Saccharomyces cerevisiae S288C: one gene and its partners. The protein of the gene in region 4 interacts with the protein of the main gene of each other region in a biochemical or structural test. Each region holds a gene or a part of one and is shown on either strand. Other genes may lie near its edges.

What was found.
Region 1: of the proteins of SSN3 (region 4) and GAL83, one has a biochemical effect on the other in vitro, tested with the Saccharomyces cerevisiae proteins (one study listed by BioGRID).
Region 2: of the proteins of SSN3 (region 4) and GAL4, one has a biochemical effect on the other in vitro, tested with the Saccharomyces cerevisiae proteins (3 studies listed by BioGRID).
Region 3: of the proteins of SSN3 (region 4) and PHD1, one has a biochemical effect on the other in vitro, tested with the Saccharomyces cerevisiae proteins (one study listed by BioGRID).

Annotation. Positions count from the first base shown.
Region 1 is NC_001137.3:208,411-211,877, reverse strand, and holds GAL83 (Gal83p), read left to right. Parts: upstream 1-1,645; coding exon 1,646-2,899; downstream 2,900-3,467. Other genes in the region: MIG3 (Mig3p), read left to right, coding at 2-1,186; CHO1 (CDP-diacylglycerol-serine O-phosphatidyltransferase), read left to right, coding at 3,404-3,467. UniProt on the Saccharomyces cerevisiae protein: Beta subunit of the SNF1 kinase complex, which is required for transcriptional, metabolic, and developmental adaptations in response to glucose limitation.
Region 2 is NC_001148.4:79,153-84,361, forward strand, and holds GAL4 (galactose-responsive transcription factor GAL4), read right to left. Parts: upstream 3,205-5,209; coding exon 559-3,204; downstream 1-558. Other genes in the region: GTPase-activating protein GYP5, read right to left, coding at 1-201; YPL247C (uncharacterized protein), read right to left, coding at 3,473-5,044. UniProt on the Saccharomyces cerevisiae protein: This protein is a positive regulator for the gene expression of the galactose-induced genes such as GAL1, GAL2, GAL7, GAL10, and MEL1 which code for the enzymes used to convert galactose to glucose.
Region 3 is NC_001143.9:355,035-358,366, forward strand, and holds PHD1 (Phd1p), read left to right. Parts: upstream 1-1,713; coding exon 1,714-2,814; downstream 2,815-3,332. Other genes in the region: DNA primase subunit PRI2, read left to right, coding at 1-45; MMO1 (Mmo1p), read left to right, coding at 1,288-1,608. UniProt on the Saccharomyces cerevisiae protein: Putative transcription factor that functions in pseudohyphal growth.
Region 4 is NC_001148.4:472,533-476,321, forward strand, and holds SSN3 (cyclin-dependent serine/threonine protein kinase SSN3), read right to left. Parts: upstream 2,176-3,789; coding exon 508-2,175; downstream 1-507. Other genes in the region: MRX11 (Mrx11p), read right to left, coding at 2,586-3,209; isoleucine--tRNA ligase ISM1, read right to left, coding at 3,461-3,789. UniProt on the Saccharomyces cerevisiae protein: Component of the SRB8-11 complex. The SRB8-11 complex is a regulatory module of the Mediator complex which is itself involved in regulation of basal and activated RNA polymerase II-dependent transcription.

The DNA of each region.
Region 1 (3,467 bases), on a different chromosome or scaffold from region 4:
TATGAATTACCTGCGAGATAGATTTCCTCCGGATAATGACCAAAGACCCTTTAGATGTGAAATTTGTTCACGAGGTTTCCACAGACTTGAACATAAAAAAAGGCACGGAAGAACGCACACTGGCGAGAAGCCTCACAAATGTACCGTTCAGGGCTGTCCGAAAAGCTTCAGCCGAAGCGATGAACTAAAAAGACATTTGAGGACACATACTAAAGGCGTCCAAAGGCGCAGAATAAAATCCAAGGGCTCGCGAAAAACCGTTGTGAATACTGCTACCGCCGCCCCTACCACCTTCAATGAAAACACTGGTGTTTCGCTCACGGGGATAGGTCAATCTAAAGTGCCACCTATTCTTATCTCCGTTGCTCAGAATTGCGATGACGTGAATATACGAAATACTGGAAATAATAATGGCATTGTGGAGACACAGGCACCTGCAATTTTAGTGCCTGTGATAAATATTCCAAATGACCCTCATCCGATTCCAAGTAGCCTCTCCACTACTTCTATCACCTCCATTGCATCAGTATATCCCTCTACTTCTCCATTCCAGTACCTGAAAAGCGGGTTTCCTGAAGATCCTGCATCTACACCGTATGTACATTCGTCCGGAAGTTCTTTAGCCCTGGGTGAATTGTCTTCAAACTCCTCTATATTTTCGAAATCTAGGAGGAATTTGGCCGCCATGAGTGGTCCTGATTCTTTGAGTAGTTCTAAAAACCAATCCAGTGCTTCGCTTCTTTCTCAAACTTCACATCCATCAAAGAGCTTTTCAAGACCGCCAACAGACTTAAGTCCTCTGCGAAGAATCATGCCTTCTGTAAACACAGGAGACATGGAAATTTCAAGGACAGTATCCGTTTCGAGCAGTTCATCATCACTCACTTCTGTTACGTATGATGACACCGCGGCTAAAGACATGGGCATGGGAATATTTTTTGATAGGCCACCTGTAACACAGAAAGCTTGCAGGAGCAATCATAAGTACAAGGTTAATGCTGTTAGCAGAGGGAGACAACATGAAAGGGCACAATTTCATATATCTGGAGATGATGAGGACAGTAACGTTCACCGCCAAGAATCAAGAGCATCCAACACAAGTCCCAATGTATCATTGCCTCCGATAAAGAGCATTTTGCGACAAATTGATAATTTCAACAGTGCTCCTTCTTACTTCAGTAAATAAACAAGCAGTAAATAAAACGTATAGAATATAAGAAGGAAAATAACAATGGGTTCTTGAAACTTGATATACTTTTTCCTGGAATGAAGACGCAAAGAAAACCTTTGGAGAAAATCATTGCAAATTTAAAAGCTGTGCTTCAAAAAACCCATGTGAGACTGAAACATGGTCCAGTGGTCTTCATCCGGACCGGTTCAAAGTCCTGCTCTACCTTCAATAATTTGTCTTTACCGTTAAAACACAGGCCACGCTATTTTTTTTGTTGCACTAATTTTCATCCTTAAGCGACCAATTTGCTCCCCTTTGGAAAAGCTCACGAAAAAACGTGGCAAAGAAAACAATACCGATCTCGTAGGATTTGGGCCACTGTTGTAATCGCAAGTAGAGAGCATCCTAGATAAGAGCTACTATATTTTGTATAAGGTCGTTTCCTGCACAATAATAAATTATCTACACTGAAATATGGCTGGCGACAACCCTGAAAACAAGGATGCTTCCATGTTAGATGTCAGTGACGCAGCTAGCAACACTACGATTAATGGTAAACATAGCGCCGATTCAACTAATGAGGCTTCCCTGGCGTACACTTTTTCTCAAATGAACGTAGATAATCCTAATGAATTAGAGCCTCAGCATCCTTTAAGACATAAATCGAGTTTAATTTTTAACGACGATGATGACGATGAAATACCTCCATATTCAAACCATGCGGAAAATGGTTCTGGGGAGACCTTTGATTCTGATGATGATATCGATGCTAGCAGCTCGAGTAGTATCGACAGCAACGAAGGCGATATCCACGATGCAGATATGACAGGAAATACCTTGCAAAAAATGGATTATCAACCATCTCAGCAGCCTGACTCACTTCAAAATCAAGGCTTTCAACAGCAACAAGAACAGCAACAGGGCACTGTGGAAGGCAAGAAAGGAAGAGCTATGATGTTTCCAGTTGACATCACTTGGCAACAGGGGGGTAATAAAGTGTACGTTACTGGGTCTTTTACGGGATGGAGAAAGATGATCGGGTTAGTACCAGTCCCTGGACAGCCTGGACTTATGCATGTAAAATTACAGCTGCCTCCAGGTACTCATCGTTTCAGATTTATTGTTGACAATGAGTTAAGATTCAGTGATTATTTACCTACCGCAACCGACCAAATGGGAAACTTCGTCAACTATATGGAAGTGAGCGCACCGCCTGATTGGGGCAATGAACCTCAGCAGCATCTGGCTGAAAAAAAAGCGAATCATGTAGATGATAGCAAATTGAGTAAGAGACCTATGAGCGCTCGCTCGAGAATCGCATTGGAGATAGAAAAGGAACCAGATGACATGGGCGATGGTTACACTCGTTTTCACGATGAGACCCCCGCTAAACCTAATTTAGAGTACACTCAAGATATACCTGCTGTGTTCACCGACCCAAATGTAATGGAACAATATTATTTGACACTTGATCAGCAGCAAAATAATCACCAAAATATGGCCTGGTTGACTCCTCCACAACTGCCACCTCATTTAGAAAACGTCATTTTGAATAGTTACTCAAACGCGCAAACTGATAATACGTCTGGCGCCCTTCCCATTCCGAACCATGTTATATTGAACCATCTGGCGACAAGCAGTATTAAGCATAATACATTATGTGTCGCATCCATTGTTAGGTATAAACAAAAATACGTGACCCAAATACTGTATACACCATTGCAATAGATATGATTATAGAGCTTATAGCTACATCTTTTTAGATAAAAGCGAAGATGTTTCTGCGATTTTTCCATTATAGCTCTCCATGATACTAAATATCAAGGTCTACATGTAAGTATTTGTATATATGGGTTGGAATGTATATACGTATATACGTACGTACGTACGTATATGCACATAATTGTTACGGGATGTATATATAAATTAGTAGCATTATAGAAGATATCCCTAACATCAATCCCCACTCCTTCTCAATGTGTGCAGACTTCTGTGCCAGACACTGAATATATATCAGTAATTGGTCAAAATCACTTTGAACGTTCACACGGCACCCTCACGCCTTTGAGCTTTCACATGGACCCATCTAAAGATGAAGATCCGTATTTTATAGGAAACATTATAAATAAGGAAAGAGAGATACACCTATTTTTTTCATTTTGTGGGTGATTGTCATTTTTAGTTGTCTATTTGATTCAATCAAAAAACAAAAATAAAACTATATATTAAAAAATGGTTGAATCAGATGAAGATTTCGCACCTCAAGAATTCCCACACACGGACACAGACGTTATCG
Region 2 (5,209 bases), 390 kb from region 4:
TAAACTTTGTTGCTTGTCATTTAGTTCTTTGTCCGAATGGAGGGGCTCAGTTGGAATTATAGCTATCTCTTCATATTGGTCTGATGGCGTTGATTTTATCTCTTCCTCCATTGAACCCAAATTATTCGAATGATTATCACCTTCGTGAACTTCAGAGGCGATCGTATCTGTATTTTTCTCAATAGATTTGTCTGAAGACATTGCTCTATTAACGTTCTACTTTACACTGGTGGTAGGAGCTGTTTTATTTTGAGTATTAACTAATCAATCTCAATTACGTTCGATCCAAACCCTTTTTTTTCGTTATATGAGCGAAGCTTCTGAATAAGCCCTCGTAATATATTTTCATGAAGAATTTAGGTCCAAAAAAAAGATGGGCATTAATTCTAGTCATTTAAAAAATTCTATAGATCAGAGGTTACATGGCCAAGATTGAAACTTAGAGGAGTATAGTTACATAAAAGAAGGCAAAACGATGTATAAATGAAAGAAATTGAGATGGTGCACGATGCACAGTTGAAGTGAACTTGCGGGGTTTTTCAGTATCTACGATTCATTTTACTCTTTTTTTGGGTTTGGTGGGGTATCTTCATCATCGAATAGATAGTTATATACATCATCCATTGTAGTGGTATTAAACATCCCTGTAGTGATTCCAAACGCGTTATACGCAGTTTGGTCCGTCCAACCAGGTGACAGTGGTTTTGAATTATTACCATCATCAATTTTACTAGCCGTGATTTCATTATTCATGAAGTTATCATGAACGTTAGAGGAGGCAATTGGTTGTGAAAGCGCTTGAGAATTTGTTTGAGTTGTTATGAGGTTCGGACCGTTGCTACTGTTAGTGAAAGTGAAGGACAATGAGCTATCAGCAATATTCCCACTTTGATTAAAATTGGCGCCACCAAACAAAGCAGACGGGGTCAGTGGCACTAATGATTGCAGCTGTTGCTGTTGCCCTAGAAAAGGCGTGACTGAGCGATGCGAAGGTGTGCTTCTTGGTATTGTCACTGGAGAGTTACGAGAGGGTGGACGGTTAGATAACAGCTTGACTAGATCACTGAAACTTGCTCCTGATTTCAATGGCACAGGTGAAGGCCCTACTGAGCCAGGAGAAACATATTTAACACTGATATTGTTGACATTTTCCTCCGGAAGAGTAGGGTATTGGGCGATAGTTGCAGAACCGACAATATTTTTAATGGCGCTACCATTACTATTGTTATAACTGATATGCGGTAATGGGATTGCACACTGTGATAACAGAAACGGCGCACATACCTCTTCCAGTACTTGAATGTATTTTTCACAAGTCTGGATTTTAAAAGTGGCCAGTTTTTTTAATAGCATCAGAACAGTGTTAATTTGTTGTAATAATTGTGCGGTCTCGTTATTCTCAGCATTCGATTTTGAGTTTGAGAGTAGAGTCTTTATGGGTACTAGGACTGCATTGAACAAGTAATAAGAACAATTCCAGGCAAAATATGGGGTGACATTATGATTGTCCATATAGCTACTTACAGACATAACAGTTCTTTGTGCTGCATCGCTTAACATGATGGAGCATCGTTTAACTTCATAACTTTGATGATCATTTTGATCCTGTTCTAGTTGTGACTTTTTCTGGGTAAAATTAGTGAAAAAATCTCTTAATACATAAATGATAAGAGACAACTGTTTCCACTTCAGTTCGAATCTTGTAAAGGATAGCCAAGGGTGTTCCTTCAACAAATTGGTTAGAGCGGTGGTGGAAATATCCATTTGTAAAAACTTTGGTGCCTGTCTCGAAACCTCCTCAATCTCATTACAAATCATCAAGCATTTTTTTGCACATATAGGACTTTTTTCTGCAGTTACTGTTTTGTCTAGTTCATAGATTTTTGTGAAAACTTGTAAGAGCCTTGCTGTTTCAATGATGCCATGATATATGGTGGGACCTGTTGTGGTACGCTGCACATCGTCGACAGAAGAAGGGAAGGAGATTGTATTCTGAGAAAGCTGGATGGATCGACCATAAAGCAGGGACAATTGGATCTCCCAAGAGTAGACAGACCACCAAATTCGGCGTCTTTGTTCCAGAATGCTGCTATCACTGAAGGACGAGGGGAGGTCCCTATTCAAGCCCAATGATATGGCCATTCTTATGGAAAAGCTGTGAAAATTATAGCTAGTATTTGTTTTCTGCCTCCACTGTGTATATCGCGACAGAAGATGTAGGGCTGTCACCAAAATTATGGAACCTGACTCGAAGACCTTGCTCGTCAAATGAGATTTAGCATTTTGATAGTAAAAAACATCTATATCAGTAGATTCCCCCTCTATACACCAGGCTCCAATGGCTAATATGCAGTTAAAAAGGATTTGCCATTGATCCTTCGACGCGATTTCAATCTGGTTATTATACAACATCATTAGCGTCGGTGAGTGCACGATAGGGCAGTAGGGGTGAAAATTATTGAGATAACTTTGAAGTAAACGGGATGTTGTGGATCTAGAAGCCAACGTGTATCTATCCGTAATCATGGTCGGGAGCCTGTTAACGTTAGAGTTCGTGTAATTTTCCGGTTTAAAGCCAATAGATCGAAGAATACATAAGAGAGAACCGTCGCCAAAGAACCCATTATTGTTGGGGTCCGTTTTCAGGAAGGGCAAGCCATCCGACATGTCATCCTCTTCAGACCAATCAAATCCATGAAGAGCATCCCTGGGCATAAAATCCAACGGAATTGTGGAGTTATCATGATGAGCTGCCGAGTCAATCGATACAGTCAACTGTCTTTGACCTTTGTTACTACTCTCTTCCGATGATGATGTCGCACTTATTCTATGCTGTCTCAATGTTAGAGGCATATCAGTCTCCACTGAAGCCAATCTATCTGTGACGGCATCTTTATTCACATTATCTTGTACAAATAATCCTGTTAACAATGCTTTTATATCCTGTAAAGAATCCATTTTCAAAATCATGTCAAGGTCTTCTCGAGGAAAAATCAGTAGAAATAGCTGTTCCAGTCTTTCTAGCCTTGATTCCACTTCTGTCAGATGTGCCCTAGTCAGCGGAGACCTTTTGGTTTTGGGAGAGTAGCGACACTCCCAGTTGTTCTTCAGACACTTGGCGCACTTCGGTTTTTCTTTGGAGCACTTGAGCTTTTTAAGTCGGCAAATATCGCATGCTTGTTCGATAGAAGACAGTAGCTTCATCTTTCAGGAGGCTTGCTTCTCTGTCCTCTCTTAAAATGATGGCGTGCATTACGTAGACACAATCTGGAGATGAAGCTGAAAATCTGGGGAAGGATGACGGAAAAAATAGCTCATAAAACAGAAAAAGGCCCGAAGTAACAATAGGAAAAATTAATTGCACTAAACAAAGAAAACGATATTATGGTGATTAAACTGATACAGAATTATGTAAATACTTTGAAATTATAGAAGGTTTGTAGAATAAAAAAAATACTGGGCGAATGCTGTCTCAAAGGACGCGGACGTTTTGAAACTTCTTGCCGCTCACGCACCCAAACCAATCGCCCCTCTGGGGCCTCCATGCAATGTTGTTTATCTCTTGTGTTTTATTGGCATACATCATGTTAGGAGTCTCTAGTGTCTTGCACACCTGCTTGCTGTTGTTGTTTAAACTTAAGGGATCCTCGTTTAAACCGGATCCTGCGCCACCGTCTGTCATCTCTGTGTCGCCGTCAGGGTCCTCCAAGGAAGTTCCATGAATACTGGGGGATTTGCTACCTGCAGCGTTAATTTCCATAAAGGAGCTGTTCAAGTCCCAATAGAGCACCTGGCAGTCATCTCCGCACGAGAGCAAAACATTGCGCTTTGTGGGATGCCATTTAATCCCGTTTACCGAAGAACCGTGGCCTTGTAAGTTTAGTATAGGGGATTCTGGGTTCCTCATATCTAGAATAATGATTTTGTTCGAGTCAGCTGCAAAAGTGGCCAACACATTTGGGTCATACGGTGATGGCTCCAGCCTCAATAAGGCGTCCGAACCTTTCGACGACGGTGTTATAGTACCCGCAGTGGCTCCAGACACTGAGGAAGAGGGAGGCTCGTAAATAATTGTACTGTGCGCAAGCGATCTTAAATCAAATACTCGTACACTACCGTCCCCACCACAACTAGCAAATAATTGGGTCGATTTTGTCAAAAACCTTACATCAAAAACTTCGCTGTCGTGAGCGATCAATTGGGTCTTAACGTAGTGACTGCTTTGCAGATCCCATACAATGCATGTGGTGTCGATGGAACTTGAGATTATCAAGTTAGTATCGACCGTGTTCCAGTCAAATGATGTTATTGGTGGGAAAGTGCCTATGACCTTCATGTCATCTGCGGCCGCGGGATTGGCGGGGTGCTGTCTATTGTATTTACACAGAGATAGATTTATTTGTTCTTGGAACTGTCTTTCCTCAGGGCTAACGCTCCAAATCCGTAAGGAGTCAGAACACGTCGCGAGTTTCCTTGGATACAATTGAGAGGGGACCCATTGGATTTTGCTCACAGGATAAACCACATCTGCGTCCACTACGCTTTCCCAGCTCAGTAGATCATTAGAGTGCAGAACCTGCAACTTATTTCTGCTGTCCTCTTTGTACGAACCCAAGCAGACGTAGTCGTCGGCGCTCCAATCGAGCCCAAAGAGTGGATAGTGTGATTGATATTCGCACACGGAGGCCATGGAAGGGTTCATCAGATTGCTTACAACCGGAATATTTGCAGCATAGCCCCTCGCCTGCTGTAACTGAGAATGATTTGGTGAAAAAACTGGTGGCGAGAAATCTAACGGTGAATACATCGGCGATCGACTTGCATAGTACGTGGCACTTAGGTCACAGCCACTATTCCTTTTGCTGTTACCGCCATTGGTAGTGTTGCCAGACATTCCAAAGGGAGATGGGCCTCTACCTTGATCTTGTGCCGCCGAGGAAGGCCCATTAGTACCACTCAAGTAATTGTTCTTGTTATATGGCTGCCGCTGCGATGAGCCAAACGATATTGAGCTCCTTTTATTGCCATTGTGAAAGGGATCCATTTGAAGGGCGTGTATTTGCTCCTATAATTCCTTTCCTTCTTGTTGTCTGTTGACCCTTTAGGTTGTATGCCACTCTCGAAAACCTAAAGAACTGATTACTAAATTATTTATACAAGATTTCAGATGACAAGATGGTTCACCCCTTGCCCCTGGTCTTCCTCCCAG
Region 3 (3,332 bases), on a different chromosome or scaffold from region 4:
CAGAAGCTGGAAAAGGAAAAACTATTCAATAATGGTAATCATTAGTGCAGAAAGGGAAAAGGAAAAAAGCGAAGAGATAACTAAAAAGGATTAATAGTATACGTAATTTAGTCTACTGTAAGTATGGTCAAAAATTTTCTTTAGTGAGAAAAAAAAAAAAAAAGAGAAACGATAAACGCTGTACAATACCAGTGACTGCACTGCTCCGAAAACGTCCGAGATATGTATATTGTCCGAATTTTTTCATACTTTAATAGCTGGCCAGAGAAACCTTATAATTTTGTGGCTGCAAGCTATCGCGCTGTTCCTCTGTGACAGGCAACACAGAACAACTAACCGCCTGTCTTTTATGCCTGTACACTTCATTAAAATTTACCGTTTTCTTCCATTACAAGCGGGGACACTTTCCGTTTAAACCTGCAATATGTTGCAGGGCCTATCCACGCCAATTTACTGTGGCAGAAGTTACTGCAGTGGAAGAACTACCTTTTCCAGCATAGCCTCCGCCACCAAAAAATGCAGGTGCTGCGTTTTCTGGATACGTGGCTGGCCTTTAAAACGCATGGGAGGGACAGTATCTCACCGATTTGGTAATGCCGTGATGCAACCTCGAGGATCCGGTTTTCAAGAGCGGAAGTAAAAAACCGGGAAGATCTAATATTTCCTTATGCAGGTATTCTGTGACTAAAAAGTATAGAAGACTATTTTGCACCGCTCCCTGATTAGACTTCGTGCGATATTATTGATGGATATCGTCTTTATCTTTCCGTGGACCTAAAACGGCACCCCTTCGTCTAGGATAAACGCGGTCGGCTCTTTCGAAGACTAAAAAAGCAGCCACAATAACGTTACATGCAAAATCAGCCCACTCGAAGTTAGATACTGCGTAGACGGATTTGCACGATGCGATGATAAATATTAGGGACAGTGCGTGCCCACCCATAAGTTGCTGTAGAGCTTACAAATTGTAAAGACTAATTCCAATCGCACGCCCACCCCTCACGGGAATAAGTTAGAATGTTGCGGAATGAACGATAACTTCATATTAGGTAAAAGGGAAGAATGCAACGCTGCGGTCTACGGGCTTTTTTCTGCGAGACCAATTTTCTTCTTTTGTTTTTTTATTTCGATATTTAGTTTTCATGCAAACGGGTATTATTCTTGACAGGCCATTATGTAAGAGTGTGGAAACATAATTCTTGCACATACGACGTTTTCTTAACTGTTCCTGTTTCAAGTTACGGAAACGCCTGTGGCCCAGGTAGCGTAGGCAAAATCAAGCTCAGAATGGGTTACGTAATTATGACGTTTTCGAGTGCGAGGATGTCAGAAAGGAGAGCCAGAATTATATATATATGGATGCATCTCTCTGCATATAAAATTAATTTCCCTTTCGTACAGTTCCCTACTTTTTTTTCCCTCTTTCGTTTGCAAAAGAAGGCGGCCATACTCATTAAAAACCCCTCCCCATTTTTCCTTTTTTTTTTGTTTCCATATAGGAAGAACTCTACAGCTCGAACAATACATCAAATCAATCAAGCAGTCGCTCTCGTTCTATTGTGTGTTTCTCACCACCTTACATATCTCCCCTCAGTTCCCAGCCTATAACTTTGTGGTTCTCTTCTTTTCAACTTCTTCTTCTTGACATTATACTTTAATAAGACCATTACTTCTTTTTCTTTGCTGGAATTCATAATTCATTAAGCAGAAAATATGTACCATGTTCCTGAAATGAGGCTACATTACCCCCTGGTGAACACTCAATCTAACGCCGCAATAACACCCACCAGAAGTTACGACAATACCCTTCCTTCGTTTAACGAGCTATCACACCAGAGTACAATCAATCTTCCATTCGTCCAACGCGAAACTCCAAACGCATATGCTAATGTTGCCCAATTAGCTACGTCGCCAACTCAGGCTAAATCAGGGTATTATTGTCGCTATTATGCTGTGCCTTTTCCCACATATCCACAACAACCACAATCTCCATATCAACAAGCTGTACTTCCTTATGCCACCATTCCCAACAGCAATTTCCAACCATCTTCTTTCCCTGTGATGGCAGTGATGCCTCCAGAGGTTCAATTTGATGGATCATTCTTGAACACCTTACATCCTCACACAGAGTTGCCTCCAATCATTCAAAACACTAATGATACTAGCGTCGCACGTCCAAATAACCTTAAATCAATAGCAGCAGCGTCACCAACAGTGACAGCAACAACAAGAACACCTGGCGTCAGTTCAACGTCAGTTCTCAAACCACGCGTTATAACTACGATGTGGGAAGATGAGAATACTATCTGCTACCAAGTAGAGGCGAACGGTATATCAGTCGTGCGTAGGGCTGACAACAACATGATTAACGGCACCAAGTTGTTGAATGTCACGAAGATGACAAGGGGGAGAAGGGATGGAATATTAAGATCCGAGAAGGTTAGGGAAGTCGTGAAGATTGGCTCCATGCACCTCAAGGGTGTTTGGATTCCTTTCGAAAGGGCTTATATCCTGGCTCAACGTGAACAGATTCTAGATCATCTGTACCCGCTCTTCGTCAAAGATATAGAATCCATTGTTGATGCCAGAAAGCCCAGCAACAAGGCATCTTTGACCCCCAAATCTAGCCCTGCCCCCATCAAGCAAGAACCATCTGATAATAAACACGAAATTGCTACTGAAATTAAGCCGAAGAGTATTGATGCTTTATCGAATGGAGCATCTACTCAGGGTGCTGGCGAACTGCCCCACTTAAAAATCAACCATATCGATACTGAGGCCCAAACAAGTAGAGCAAAAAATGAATTATCATAAGCACATAACATAATCCGTTAACTCTTTGCTCTATGAACAAGAACCGAAGTTCTAGAAAGGCTGATAGGATTCGTACAATCATTTTTACGGTCGAACTTCTGTAGTTACTCGATATATAAATATAAATAACGGACATAAAAAAAAAAATTGTAACATTATAAATCATAAAATCATAATCATATCTATTTCTAACTTCTGACTATTGCGCAATTCGTTAGAGTCTTTCCACCACGTCGATTGGACAAATCTTTATCTGTCTACTTCTAATATACTGTACATCATACCTGTCTTTTTATGCTGCTATTGTGGAGGAACCGTCATCTTTTCGCGCGAAAAAACAATATGATGCCTTTTTGAAACATGTTATTATTTGATTTTTTAATGGCTTCTATTACGCGTCGTGGTTGGTGAACCTGGTACAAAATAAATAAAAAAACACCTGCTAAAAAATATCAAATAAAGTAAGGAAGGTAATACAAAAAGAGAGCGTTGGCTCGTGTTACACAAAAGCGGTTTCG
Region 4 (3,789 bases):
AACGGGATGAACTGGTTGTTTCATCCAATGTTTTCGTAAAGTCATTCTTTTTTATGGAAAATGTACAAAGTTGTTTATATTTTTTGCTATGGTTATTAACCTGAATACCATTAACAGATGTGTTATAATGGGAACATATTACTATTGCCGATAAGTTACGAACAAACCTACTACTACCATTATATAAAAATTAAGGGGGGTACTTGAAGTCTTTTCTTTCTTCTTTTTTGGGAATGCATGAGATATTCATATGTTTTAAAGCCCCATTAGTTGAGATGAATTATGACGAAATTCGCATACATCTGCGGAGAACAGGGTTTTAGCTCGACCTAAAATCAACCCATTATTTTACCTGAATGTTGCAGACTTGCATTCTTAGTGCCTCTAAAGCGAAAAATTGAAACTGTATGCCGATTTAAATACTATAAAGATAAAAAAAAGTTTAATGAATATAATAGTGACAGTGCTGTGGAATGAAAAATTCCAAATATATATAAAAATAGAAGCCTATCTTCTGTTTTTCTTTCGAGATGGCTCATCTGATGCATTGTTTCCTGACACCGCAGCAGCGGCTGCTGCTGCCGCGGCCAGAATTCTACGGTTAACACCAAGCCCACCTAACGCATTTGCAGCGGCACCTGCGGTGATTCCTGAAGCTTGTGTATTGTTTTTCGTTCTTGATCCAAGATTCATGATGTCATTATCGTTCGTGTGAATTCTTCTTGCCGGGTATTTGTAAGTTAGACCTTCAAATACATTTTCACTAACAGGAATATCACTTTCTGTGAAGTACTTATGTTCCAACGCATTAAATGCATCTATTCTTTTAATTGGATCATAATTTAACAAGTGGTAAAGTAAGCTTAAAGCATGCTTGTCCCTTCCTCCCGCGGAATGATACCATGTAGCAAGGTTATCCCTATACTTTGGAAACTTCGTAATTTGATCATATTCTGGATACTTCTCCAAATAAGGCCAAATTTTTTGATCGGGAGTGCCAAGAACTTCCAAAATTCTCTGTAGTTGATTCACTTGAAATGGAACAGTCTTTTTAGAGTCTAGTTTAGCTTCTTCACCTTTAAATATGGGCTGTAATCCTATCAGTTCTGCAAAAATGCAGCCAACGGACCATAAATCAACCGCAGGGGTATAGTGCCGTGCTCCCAATAGCAACTCAGGTGCACGGTACCATATAGTGACAACCACTTTATCCCCAGTATAGAGGGTTTGCAGCATATTATGAAATTTTCTGGCCAAACCTAAATCACCAATTTTAACACATCCATCTATGGTCACCATTATATTTGCGGGTTTCAAATCTCGATGAAGCACCCAATTTTGATGAAGATACGATACGCCGTCTAAAAGCTGCCACATAATAGACCGAACCATTCTTGGTGGTATCATCCTTTTTTCGGGATGGGAATGGAAGTGGATAATTTGTAGCAGATCATGCTCCGCATATTCGTATACCATATGGACACATTTCCTTTCCAAAAAAATTTCCACTAATGTGGTTAAATGCTTGTTGTGCAATTCTCGACATAATGCCATTTCTCTACAGGCACTCTGAGATATTCCCGTATAATGCAATTGTTCGACGCCATCCTTCTCTGTCTTGAACTTTTTAATGGCATAAAATACCGTCAGCGGTTTTTTAATGAGGGTTTGTTTTTGGGAATTATAGTGCGGGGATACATCTTCCCTCGTAGTTCGTATTCTTCCGGGGGTCACTCCTTCATCCTTTAACAAGTTTCTTCTTAATGCGTTTGTATTTGCCTGCATGTCCATTGAAGAGCTTGATTTTGGTTGCGTGCTGTCAAACTGCGGAATTTTCGCATTGGTACCATTCAGACTAGAACCATTAGCGGAATTGGTACCGGAGTTGATTTGTCTTTTCGCTTTGTAAACTTTACCATATGTGCCCGCAGCAATGTAGCCAATAACTTCGTACTTTTCTAAGACAGATACCCGCATTCTATCTTTTCTTGCCCTATAAGGTCCAATAGTAAAAACATCATTATTGGCCATTAGCATCGGGGCTTTTCCATGCACACTTCCGATTGTGTTTTTCTTTCCAACGAACGATTGAGCTTGCTGTTGTCCTTGTACCTGCATAGGCCTTTGGTACATTGGCTGATAGGAGTTTTGTGCTCTATCCTTGCCATTATACATTTCTCTCTCCTCCCGTCAAAACTAGGCGGCCTTAATTCAATTGGGAAGCAAAATTACTAACTTCAGTATACCCTTCCGCCTTTTTTCTTTCCTATAAACCTTTCTTGTATCCTTTTTGTCAGCAGTGATTGTGGGATAACTTTCAAGTATTGAAGCGGGAAAATGAAACGCAACTTAAGCCACACCACGTAATTCTTGAAGACTTTTGATGTATGATATTTATTTCACTGTTAAAAAAAGCTATAATTTCCTCTAATCAAAACTCTCTAAAACGAAATCAAAAATATTCGTAACACATATATAACGAAGTACAATATATTGGGAATCTATAAATCATATGCCGAGTGCGCAACTTCAACTGAAAACAATAATCCGTCTCTGGGCCAGAAAAAAAAAAGGAAAAAAAAGCTTTATTTCTTAATAAGGTGCTTTAATTTTTGAAAGGGAAGAAGCAACCATTTCCCAAAATATGGTGCTCCCCAGATACTAATGAAAATGCGTACCGGATATAGTAATTTTACTGTAACGTAGGCTACTGTGCCAGATAAAATCAACTTGTTTTTGTTGAGGCATTCCTGATATCTCTTACCAACAAATTTCTCCATAGCTGTATGACAGCTATCCATTAGGCCATTTAAGAAGTTTGGGAGCTTAAAATCATCAGAAAGATCGAGGTTATAAAGTAACCACCATAGTAGAAACAGTGGTAGTATGGCAGTTACCTCATGCAAGATGAAGAATGATGTAAGTGTTGGAACCGTGCCGGCCTCACTGAGGCGGTCGAAATAGTGTGAAAATTTAGGATTCTTGTTTAACCTTGTTAAAAGTCGTGACTTGGAAAATATTTTACGTAGTCTATCCTCCCTTCTTTTCACTGGATCTAAATTTCCCGATATGAATCTAATTTGGGTTGATCCGCCGGGCCTGGTGTTCATAAACGTGGTCAATTGCGTTGGCCTTTTAAGCATGAGCTCCAACGGTCCAGAGCCCATCTGCAGTTGACAGGGCCTGAAGAAAAGATTCATGACAGTCATGTTCCTGGTGAGGGTGCCTTGGGTGTAACACTTATCCTTACACGGTCTCTCAAAAGCAATATTTTTACATTTCTCTTCTTTGCTTCCTGTTCGTATAACGCGCTGAGAGCTGGTAAGAACAATAGGCCGAGGCCCTGCATCAAAATGTCAGTAGGGGACCTGTTAGGTACCCACTAATAAGTACAAGAGGGTTTTTATTTTCTAAGAGCCAATAATTGGCATTCTTTATATACAGGAAAGGTACATGTCATTCAAGACATGAGATGATCCACAGCTTCTTTACATCTGTCACACAATTTATCCTCTTCGGCTGAGTTGGCCTTCCAACATCTGGGACAGTTGTGCCTTTTGCTTCGTTCAACCAATATTTGAACGTTTATTCCGCTTCCCAATTCAATAGTTGGTAGACTGTTATTATTATCGTCCATTTGCAATATATCAACAGCAGATGATTGCAATATGTCGCAAAGCTCGTCAGAACTGAATGGGAGGTGATGCTTGGTGAAAATGGTAACGTGACTATGTGTTGTTTTGGTGACACCTTCTTCTAGACTTAACCTCTTGAATTCCTCCTGGAACT